2 linked regions of the Callithrix jacchus genome follow. The protein of the gene in region 1 interacts with the protein of each later gene in a pairwise test. Links are inferred from orthologs where the notes say so. Each region holds a gene or a part of one and is shown in the gene's direction. Other genes may lie near its edges.

What was found.
Region 2: the proteins of LZTS2 (region 1) and STAC interact in binary tests that used the Homo sapiens proteins (3 or more experiments, as listed by UniProt). The two-hybrid records come from large-scale screens. The link is inferred for Callithrix jacchus from reciprocal best matches to the Homo sapiens genes LZTS2 and STAC.

The regions. Positions count from the first base shown.
Region 1 is NC_133513.1:93,952,538-93,956,780, forward strand, and holds the start of LZTS2 (leucine zipper putative tumor suppressor 2), read left to right. Parts: upstream 1-1,354; 5' UTR 1,355-1,515; intron 1,516-2,551; exon of another isoform or gene 2,552-2,683; intron 2,684-2,851; exon of another isoform or gene 2,852-3,213; intron 3,214-4,066; exon of another isoform or gene 4,067-4,193; intron 4,194-4,243. UniProt on the Homo sapiens protein: Negative regulator of katanin-mediated microtubule severing and release from the centrosome. Required for central spindle formation and the completion of cytokinesis.
Region 2 is NC_133518.1:74,357,131-74,361,298, forward strand, and holds the start of STAC (SH3 and cysteine-rich domain-containing protein), read left to right. Parts: upstream 1-1,173; 5' UTR 1,174-1,326; coding exon 1,327-1,437; intron 1,438-4,168. UniProt on the Homo sapiens protein: Promotes expression of the ion channel CACNA1H at the cell membrane, and thereby contributes to the regulation of channel activity.

The DNA.
Region 1 (4,243 bases):
GAGCCTGTACTATTGAACAGCAGCCCAGCCATGTCTTCCAGAGGCACAATACCAGATGTGTCCTACCTGGGAAGATGTGGGTTCCACATTCCTGTCTCCTTGGAATGCCTGGTGGGTTCTCAGGAGATCCTTTAGAAGTTTTCAGTAGGGGACCTTTGTTAGGTCTCTGTGAACTGGGAATAGAGGGATAGATACAGACTTGCCTGTTTGTCTTGCCCCACCCTTCTAGTATACACCCCCACACAGCACAAACCAGAATGATGGGGAGGGGAAGCCAATAACCCCCCAGCCCCACTGCCTGCACAGACACATTCTACTCCATGCCTGCCTTAAACACCCCATGTCATGATCAGGCCTAGTCTATTCAGATCCCTGGATTCTAGAAAGCAGTGCGGTGTCCCTAGGGCCTATGCAGATTTCCTGGGACAGGACTGGTCTGCCTACAGCCAACTGGATGGTAAGAATCTCCCTGACTCGCAGGTTCGGTGGATTGGGAAGAAAAAAACATTTCAAAAAAATCTCCCTGAGAATTCAGGAAAGGCCTGGCTGAGTCAGGTTCAGTTGCATCTGCAGCCCTGTCCTGTGATGGACAGTGTGTGTCATACTTGGCTGTGAGGGGTCAGCTTTGGTCCTCCAGCAGCTTATTCTCTGCAGTGGATGGATTTCAGAAGCCACAACTCACCGAGGTCTCCTGCAGCTCATATGGCCCAAGTACCTGTAGACCTACCCACATGCTGCCTTGAGTGACATGGTGGGAGGGAGCCCTTGGGGCCTCCTTGCAATACAGGCCAACTTCCTGTTTGTGCCTGTGGGTGGGACTTTATGAGTCTAAAAGAAGCCCAGCCATGCCCCCTGGGAGGTCAAAACCGGCAGGCCTGCTCACCTGGGCAGACACCTACTCCAGGGAGGGGGCTGTGCTGGTTCTGCTTGGGCGGCCCCAAGTGAGGTGTGTGCATGGTGGGGGTAGGTGGGAGCTGCTCTGGTGAAACTCAAGTCTTCTTTGTGTGCTTCCCAGGGGTTTTCCTTGTACTTGGGTATTGGGCCCAGAGTGGACTGGTTGGGCTCCCAACCGAGCAGGGGGGAGAGTGGCGGAGTCAGGCTCTATAGGCAGCTTAGTTAAGGCAGCCAGGTAGCAGAATTCTCGGTCACGTGATGATCGCCCCTTTTCCCCAGGTGGAAAACCAAGTCCGGTAAGCTGTGAAGTCAGAGGCCAGAGAGGCATCCTCCGCCACTGTCTAGCCACTGTTGGGCTGGGCACTGGGTCGGCTGTTGGTGGGGTGCGGGGCAGACCACTCCCCTCCCCGGGTGGGGGGCGCGGCCTGAGCCGCCCTGCCCCGCCCCGCTCTGCTCCACCAGGTCCTGCCAGGCGGGCGCCGGGAGCCGGGAGCCGGGAGCCCGGAGCCCGGAGCCCAGAGTTCGGAGCGAGCTAGGGAGCCGGCGTTGTCGCAGCGAGGAGGCGAGCGCGTTGGAGCAGGAGCGGCGCCGGAGCTGTAGCCGAGGCGCAGCTGGCGCTGGGTGAGTGGTGGGCGGCGGAGGTGCAGGAACTCCCGCCTCCTGCACATCCCCGCTCCAGAGCGAACTTTCCGCTTCTGGAGAAGCTGGGGGTGGGGATGAGGAGTGGGGTCGGGCGCAGGCGAAGAGTCAGAACAGGGAAGCGACACGGAAACGCATGCCAACGGGTCCCCACACACGCGTGCACAGACCCACGCCCGCACTTGGGACATGCGAATACACAAGCACTCGGAAAGGACGCGCCCAGTTGGCTACCCTTGCACTCCCAGGGACAGCGCCAGCCGGCGCGCGCGTACCCCCAGCGGCCAGGACACTCTGCGGTCGCGTATTGGGTGGGGGAAAGGGGCAGCCCCGTGCCCGCAATGGAGGCGGGCCGGGTGGGACGCACCCAGAGGTTCCTGCTTCCTGGCCGCCCGCAGGTGAAGACCAAGACGTAAACAGGCGTGGCGCACGTGATCGCTCCGCAGATCAGTGGCCAGTGCTCCCAACCCCACCACGGGGCGGGGACCCCAACCCCAGTCCCGGGCGCGTTTGCCTGGTCCCAGGCCGGACGGCGTTCCATTCTCCGCCTGGAGCCGGGATAAACCCTCTCCCAGGCACCGGAGCACAGCGCCCCCTGGAGCCGGGGCGGAGCAGGAGGGCCGGGCTGCTGGGCAGGGCCGGGGTAACTCGGGCTCCTGGACGTCCTTCTTCCCAGCACATTCTTGGTGTCTACATCCCGGAAAGTTTCGGAGACAGGCCCTTGATGACAGTGGACAGCTGCCCCCGCCTATTAACCCCAGCCCAGAGAGCAGCTGTCTGAGCGCCTGAGGGTCCCCTTCCTACCCTCACTTCCACTCTTTGTGGGATTCCGAGTCTCCTCCCCCGAGAAAATTCATGAGTGTAAACGCCCCCTCAATACTGGAGTGGGCCTACCCCCCTAGCAAAAGGAGGGCGAGCTCCTCCCCCCAGGGAATGAGGGAGTGGGCAGTAGCTTGATTCCTTTTCCCCGCCCCACCCCCCCACCCCTACACACACACGCTGAGCCCAGCTGCTGCCTGAGATGGGCAGGCTGCCAGAAAGAGGAGGAGGCTCTCTGTGCCCCAGGAGGCAGGGATCAGGGCAAGGCCAGAGGAGGGGGCTTTGCTGGGGAGAGGGGCTCAGTCTGTTCTTGTGAGGCTGAGGGTCTGGGGTGAGTCTGAGGGTGGCTGGGCTGTGTTTCCCTTTCCAGGGAAAAAGAAAGAAAAACAACCCTATCCATAGAGCTAAAAATAGAGCTGAGAGCGGGCCAGGGCTGTGGCCTGGAAGGGGGGGATGCTCCTTCCTGGGGCCCGGACGAGCTCTGGCAGGCCTTGGCCCTGGGGGGGAGGGAGTCCTTAGGGGAGAAAGGCTGTCTTTGCCCAGGGATGCAGGCATCAGCTGACCTGACCGGGTCACCGAGACCCTTAAGGGAAAGGCTGTGCTATAGGATATTTGTGAAGCACGGCGTGTGTGTAAGAAGTTGTCCGTGTGAGTGAATGTCAATAGAGGCTGTCAATGTGTGAAAGATGGCCAGGAGACTAAGTGCATTTGAGACTGTGACTGGGTGCGAAGGACTGCGAATTGTGGAAGCCTCTCCACAACAGGCCTGTGACACCGTGTCTGTGTGTGACATGGACTGGAAGATTATGGAAAGAAGGAACGCGGTCCCACGTGACAGCTGAGACTGCTTGTGGCTGCGTGGTGAGGCTGCCTATGGGAAAGGTCGTGTGGGTGTTAGGGACTGTGTTGTGCGCGAGAAGGTGAAAATGTCTGCGATCCTGAGAAAGTGGAATGTTGTTTGCCGTGAGGCTGGTGTAGGTTTGGGCTGTAGGCTGGAACCGGCTCGCCCAGTGATATTGGGGAGCCAGGACTGCCCCTCTCTGAGAAATGGCCTCTCTTTTTAAAAAGTGATCCCAAGGGGAGGCCGGCCTGGGTTCGCGGGGGAAAGGACACCGTGCCGGGGAGTGGGACAGGGCCAGTGTGGTGGGGGGAGGCTGAGTGTGTTCTTCGAGTCGGCCGCCAGGTGGCGCCGCCTCCGCGAAGCCCAGGTTGCCGCCTGCAACCCGCCGCGGGTGGGGCAGGCGCGGACCGAGCTTTGGCCACCGTCTCACGCTAGGGCGCGGGGCCCCCGGACCGGAGAGTGGGGGGCGGCCGGCCCTCGGCCTCCTGCTTGGGACCCTGAGGCTGAGAGCGTGTCAGGGAATTTTCGCCTGGAGAAGCCGAGGGGGAGGGGCGGCCGCCGCCGCCTCGCCGGGGCTCTTTGTGCTGTAACAATGACCAGCTGCCGCCGGCCCCCGGGCCCGGGCTGGGGCGGAGGGTGACCGCCGCCGCCGAGCCGAGCCAAGTCCCCGGACACGCAGTCACAGGGCGTCGGAAGGAGGGCTCCCGACTGCCGCCGAGCAGCCCCTACGTGCGCCCCGGCGGACTCGCGTGACGCGGGTGCCGGAGCGTGTCCGCGGCCCGGGGCGGGGACGGCCCTCGGACCCTCCCTTGCGCAGCGCCGCCCACTCGCACTGGGCGGGGGCTGGCCTGGGCCGGGGGGCGCCGCGGAGGCGGAGGCGGGGCCGGCCCGGGCCGCTCGGAGTGGCGGCGCGCGGGCCGGGATCGGGGCCGGAGCCGGGCGGCGCGCCTGTGGAGCGCTGGGGGCGGCCTGGGGCTGAGCATGGAGCAGCGCGGCGGAGGTGAGGGGGGGCCGGGGCTGGGAGGCGGCCTGGGGCGCCCCCAACTTCTG
Region 2 (4,168 bases), on another chromosome or scaffold:
GCCCTGTGTGACTGCACAGGTTACACATCCATGAAGCTGCTCCTGCAAAGATCTGCAGCTAATTTAAAAATCTGAACAGAAGTTTGCAATCTTCTTTTAAAAAATTGAGAGTGTTTCGTATTAAGCGGGGGAAAGAGGCTTTTAAATATCTAGGTGTATTTCCTTTCCCTGCACACTAAGGTTATCTTTAAAATAAACTGGACCCTTCTAATATCTTTATTCAATGGGGCTATCCCTATGTTTCCAAAAGATTTAGTAAGACAGGCTGGTTTGCCTCTCTGCGAACGGCCCTCAACTATTGCTATACTGCAACACCCAATTGCTCTTCAGTCAAGACCTGGCCTAAATTTGAAGTTCCACAGTGGGAAATGCATGGATTTTGAAGCCAAAATAAGTTCAAATTCCAGTTTCACCAGTTACAGTTTAGTGATTTAAAGCAAATTACTCAGCCTTCTTACAACCTCAGTTTCCTCATCTACAAAATGGAAGTGATAATCCCTAGACCCAGAGTAGCTGGAAGGATTAAGTAAGGTAAAAAGAAAGGATTTAGTACAATAAGTGCACGACCAAGGAGGAACAGGTGTCCATATACACACCGCCTTATCTCTCTGCTTTAGATCAAAGCTGAATGGAGGAAGCGCAGTTCCCTTGACTCGGGGGACCCACCCCCCCACTGGGATCGCTGCTCTCAGTCACTGAACCCTATAAATAGCTTAGCTAAGTCACTGTCTCAGTCACCATTCCTTGGGGTGAGGAATGAGGGAGTCGTTGCAAGTGGTCCTTTCTGGCCGTATCATTCACAGATTTTCCATTCTTTGCGGTTTGGGTCTGAATTTTCAGCATCCTCCCTAAAGATTCACCCTCACCCGGTGCCGGCGCGCACCCCGCTTTCCACCCTCACCTCCTCTCCAGGGCGCTGCCCCCCGCCTGCCCTCACTACTCCAGGCGTTGGCCGCACGGCCCCGCCCCGGAGCTGCTCCCGCCTCCTCCCTCCTCCCGTGGGCGAGCTGAAGCCCCGCTCGCCCCTCTCGCCTGCGGCGGCCGAGTGGCAGCCACCACTGCTAGGAGGTCGCCGGCGAGGTGGCCGCGGGCGCGGCGGGGCGGGGCAGGGCGCGCTGTCCTCCACGCCCGCGGAAGTGCCGGGGAGGTGGGCAGGGCCGGGCGGAGAGGGGCGAGGCTGGAGGAGGGCACGGCGGCGCCTGGGCAAGGATGGGAGTCCCCGGGACCCGGAGCTGAGCAGCCGGGTGCGCGCGGCGGGCAGGGCGCGCAGGGGTACGGCAGCCTTGCTGTTCTCCGGGAGCCCAACACCGTTCCCGCGCGGCCAGGATGATCCCTCCGAGCGGCCCCCGCCAGGACGGCGTGGACGGGCTGCCCCAGGAGGCAGCGAGCGCCGAGCAGCCGCCCTCTCCTGCATCCACCGGCAGCCAGGAATCCAAGGTACCGAAGCGCACTTGCCCCAGGAGAACAGACTCACTCCCCTCTCCTCTCGGTCCAGCACGGGGCGCGGGGGGCTGACGCTTGCTCCTTGGGCCGGGGCTGGACGGCGCCTCCCCTGGGACTGGAACGTCCGGTGGGACCCACTGCCCACGATGCTGGACCGCGTCCCCGTGGACCCAGCCTTCTCGCCCACACATTCACACACGCATTTCGTGGTGGCTCCGGGTCCAGAGATCGATTTCCTGCGGGGTGGCGGCTTGGTTGTTTTGTGCTTTGAACCTGCTTGTGTCCAAAGCACGTGTAGGTAATTGTTGGGTTCTGAAGGCTGAGGGATGGAGACAGCCGAGGGATACTCTTGCAGAAAAGCTCGAGTCCTGGGCCAGAAAAGCAAGTATGTATCCCAAGGGTCTCAGAGTCCTTTTGCTCAACAGGGATCAACCCTACCTTCAGATGCCACTCTCTAAAAGAGAAAAAAGAAAAAGGACAAGAAAAGGGAAATACTGCGTTTGTCTAAAGTTGATGTTCCTCTTGTGGAAGTTAATACTCTAAGAACTTACACTTGCTTTTATGAAAGTTACACTAACACATACACACACAACCAGGCCCACAGCACTTCTCCTGTCACTGTTACACTTCCTCTGAAATTCTCGTGGGTGCCAGGCACATGTTTGAAAATCTTGGAAGAGGATCGAGTAAAATGTGGCTGCTCACAGTGCAATGCCAAATGGCAACTCAGCTGGTGGTGCAAAGCCTAAGATGGAGTTTGTAGTTATGTGGATTCTTTTAAGTGTAGAGCTCCTGGCTCTTTATTCTGATTTCATTGTGAGATCCCCAAGCATTTGGGGAAATGTGAGGCAGTCCCTGTATACCAGCAAAGGAAAGGGGATGCCAGTTGGTAGGATAGGAACAGGTCAGATGGGGCAAGGAAAAGCGCCATCCTGTCTCCCTTCACATGCATCCCTGGAAGCCATTGATACAATCAGGAGGATGAAAATCGCAGCCTGAGTGGCTCTGGGGATTTGGGGTGATACTGGGCACTGTACATTTCTCAGCCCCCTGAAATTAACCATCAATGATGGTAAGCTAAGCCTGAACACTTTGCATCTTATTTACTTTTTTTTTTTTTCTGTTAATTACTGGCTGCCAGACCTGGGGTATGTGTGTCAACTTTTCTGAAACTTAATTGGAAATGAGGGAAAAAGCCTCCACCTTCCAGAATCATTGTGAGGGGTACATGAGATGCCCTAATGTCCCCTTGGTATAGTTTAAGGACTCAGTCATGTTTATCCTTTTCCTTCCTGAGATAAAGAGCTGGAATCCATCTCATCTCAAATGACCCACTCCAAAACAATCTCATAACCCATATACATGACTCCAGTCACAAAGGTTCTGGGTGTCATTGCCTGCCGTTGAACATCAGTCCCCAAAGTGATATAGGTTAGTGGCCATTTTATAGGAAGGCTAGAATTCTGTAAAAGAAGGTAGCTAAACTCAAGAGTGAAACTGGTATTAAACTTTTTGAATTGGCCTGTTGCTCTGCCGTAGGTGCGTCCTGGAAAGGGCTTAGCATTTGGGCAAACAGCGGCATGATTCAAATGTATTGTATGGATTTGCTATTTATAGATGTCCTAATGGAAATTATTTGGCAGAGCAAAAACCACATATGTAATGCCCGTAATTATCCGCCAATTTATCTGGCTTATGGCTTTGTACAAATTAGTTTTTCTCAAAGTGGTCTCTATACCGGATGTGTATTTCTACATTCCTAAGTTTGATGTCATGGCTTCGGTGTGCTTAATTAGTGGACATAAACTCTGGGGGCCCCTGAACACTAGGAAATTGAATGCAATATTGTATGCCTAAATGTGACTTTTTCTTGGCATGGCATTTGTGATATTCCCAAGGGGATCCATGCCCCTTAAAAAAAGCTAAACTGCTCGTAGGGAGGAACATGTGGTAAGGTAAGACAAGGATGACATGAAACCAGAGGACAGGAAGGCTCAATTCATTCCATGCTAGGAAGGCCACGTGTTAAAGCTCACTGGCGTTTACAAGGATCTTCCACCCTGAGCACGAGCGCTTGGTGAGGAAAACGTGAACAAGACAATAATAAGCATTCCACCTTACTCTTCCATGAAGTGGTCTTGTTTGTAAAATATCTTGTGAGACAAACATGGTTCAGGCTTCTTTGGGCATTTAACTCTCTCGGGGAAGACTTTTAAAATTACTTTTTTTAAAGACTTAGGTTTTTCGTCTTATTATAAGAGTAACAAATATTCTTTGTAGATATTTGAACAGTCCAGATATAAATTATAAAAAGAAGAAAAATCAGCTGTTGGTTTATCATCCAGAAGCATCTATTAATAGCATTTTGATCTATATCTTACATCTTTTTAAATCTATTTTTTATTTACATAGTTGAGAGAACAATAGTGAGCATCTACTGAATGTTTACGGTGAGTCAGGTATAACCTTAATCTTCACAATAGAAGATTCTGTTAATATTGCTGTTTTATGGATAGGGAAGTGGAAGCTGAGAAAGGTTAGATCATTTTCATTGTGGAAATTTATCTTATTATGGAGAATTTCAAAATACACAAAAGTAGAGAAAACAGTATAGAGAACTGTCATGGACCTAATCATGTGGTTTCACGATCAATTCATGGACAGTGTGTTTTATGTATTACCACCCCCACCACCACCACCACCCTACATGTACTAGATCATTTTA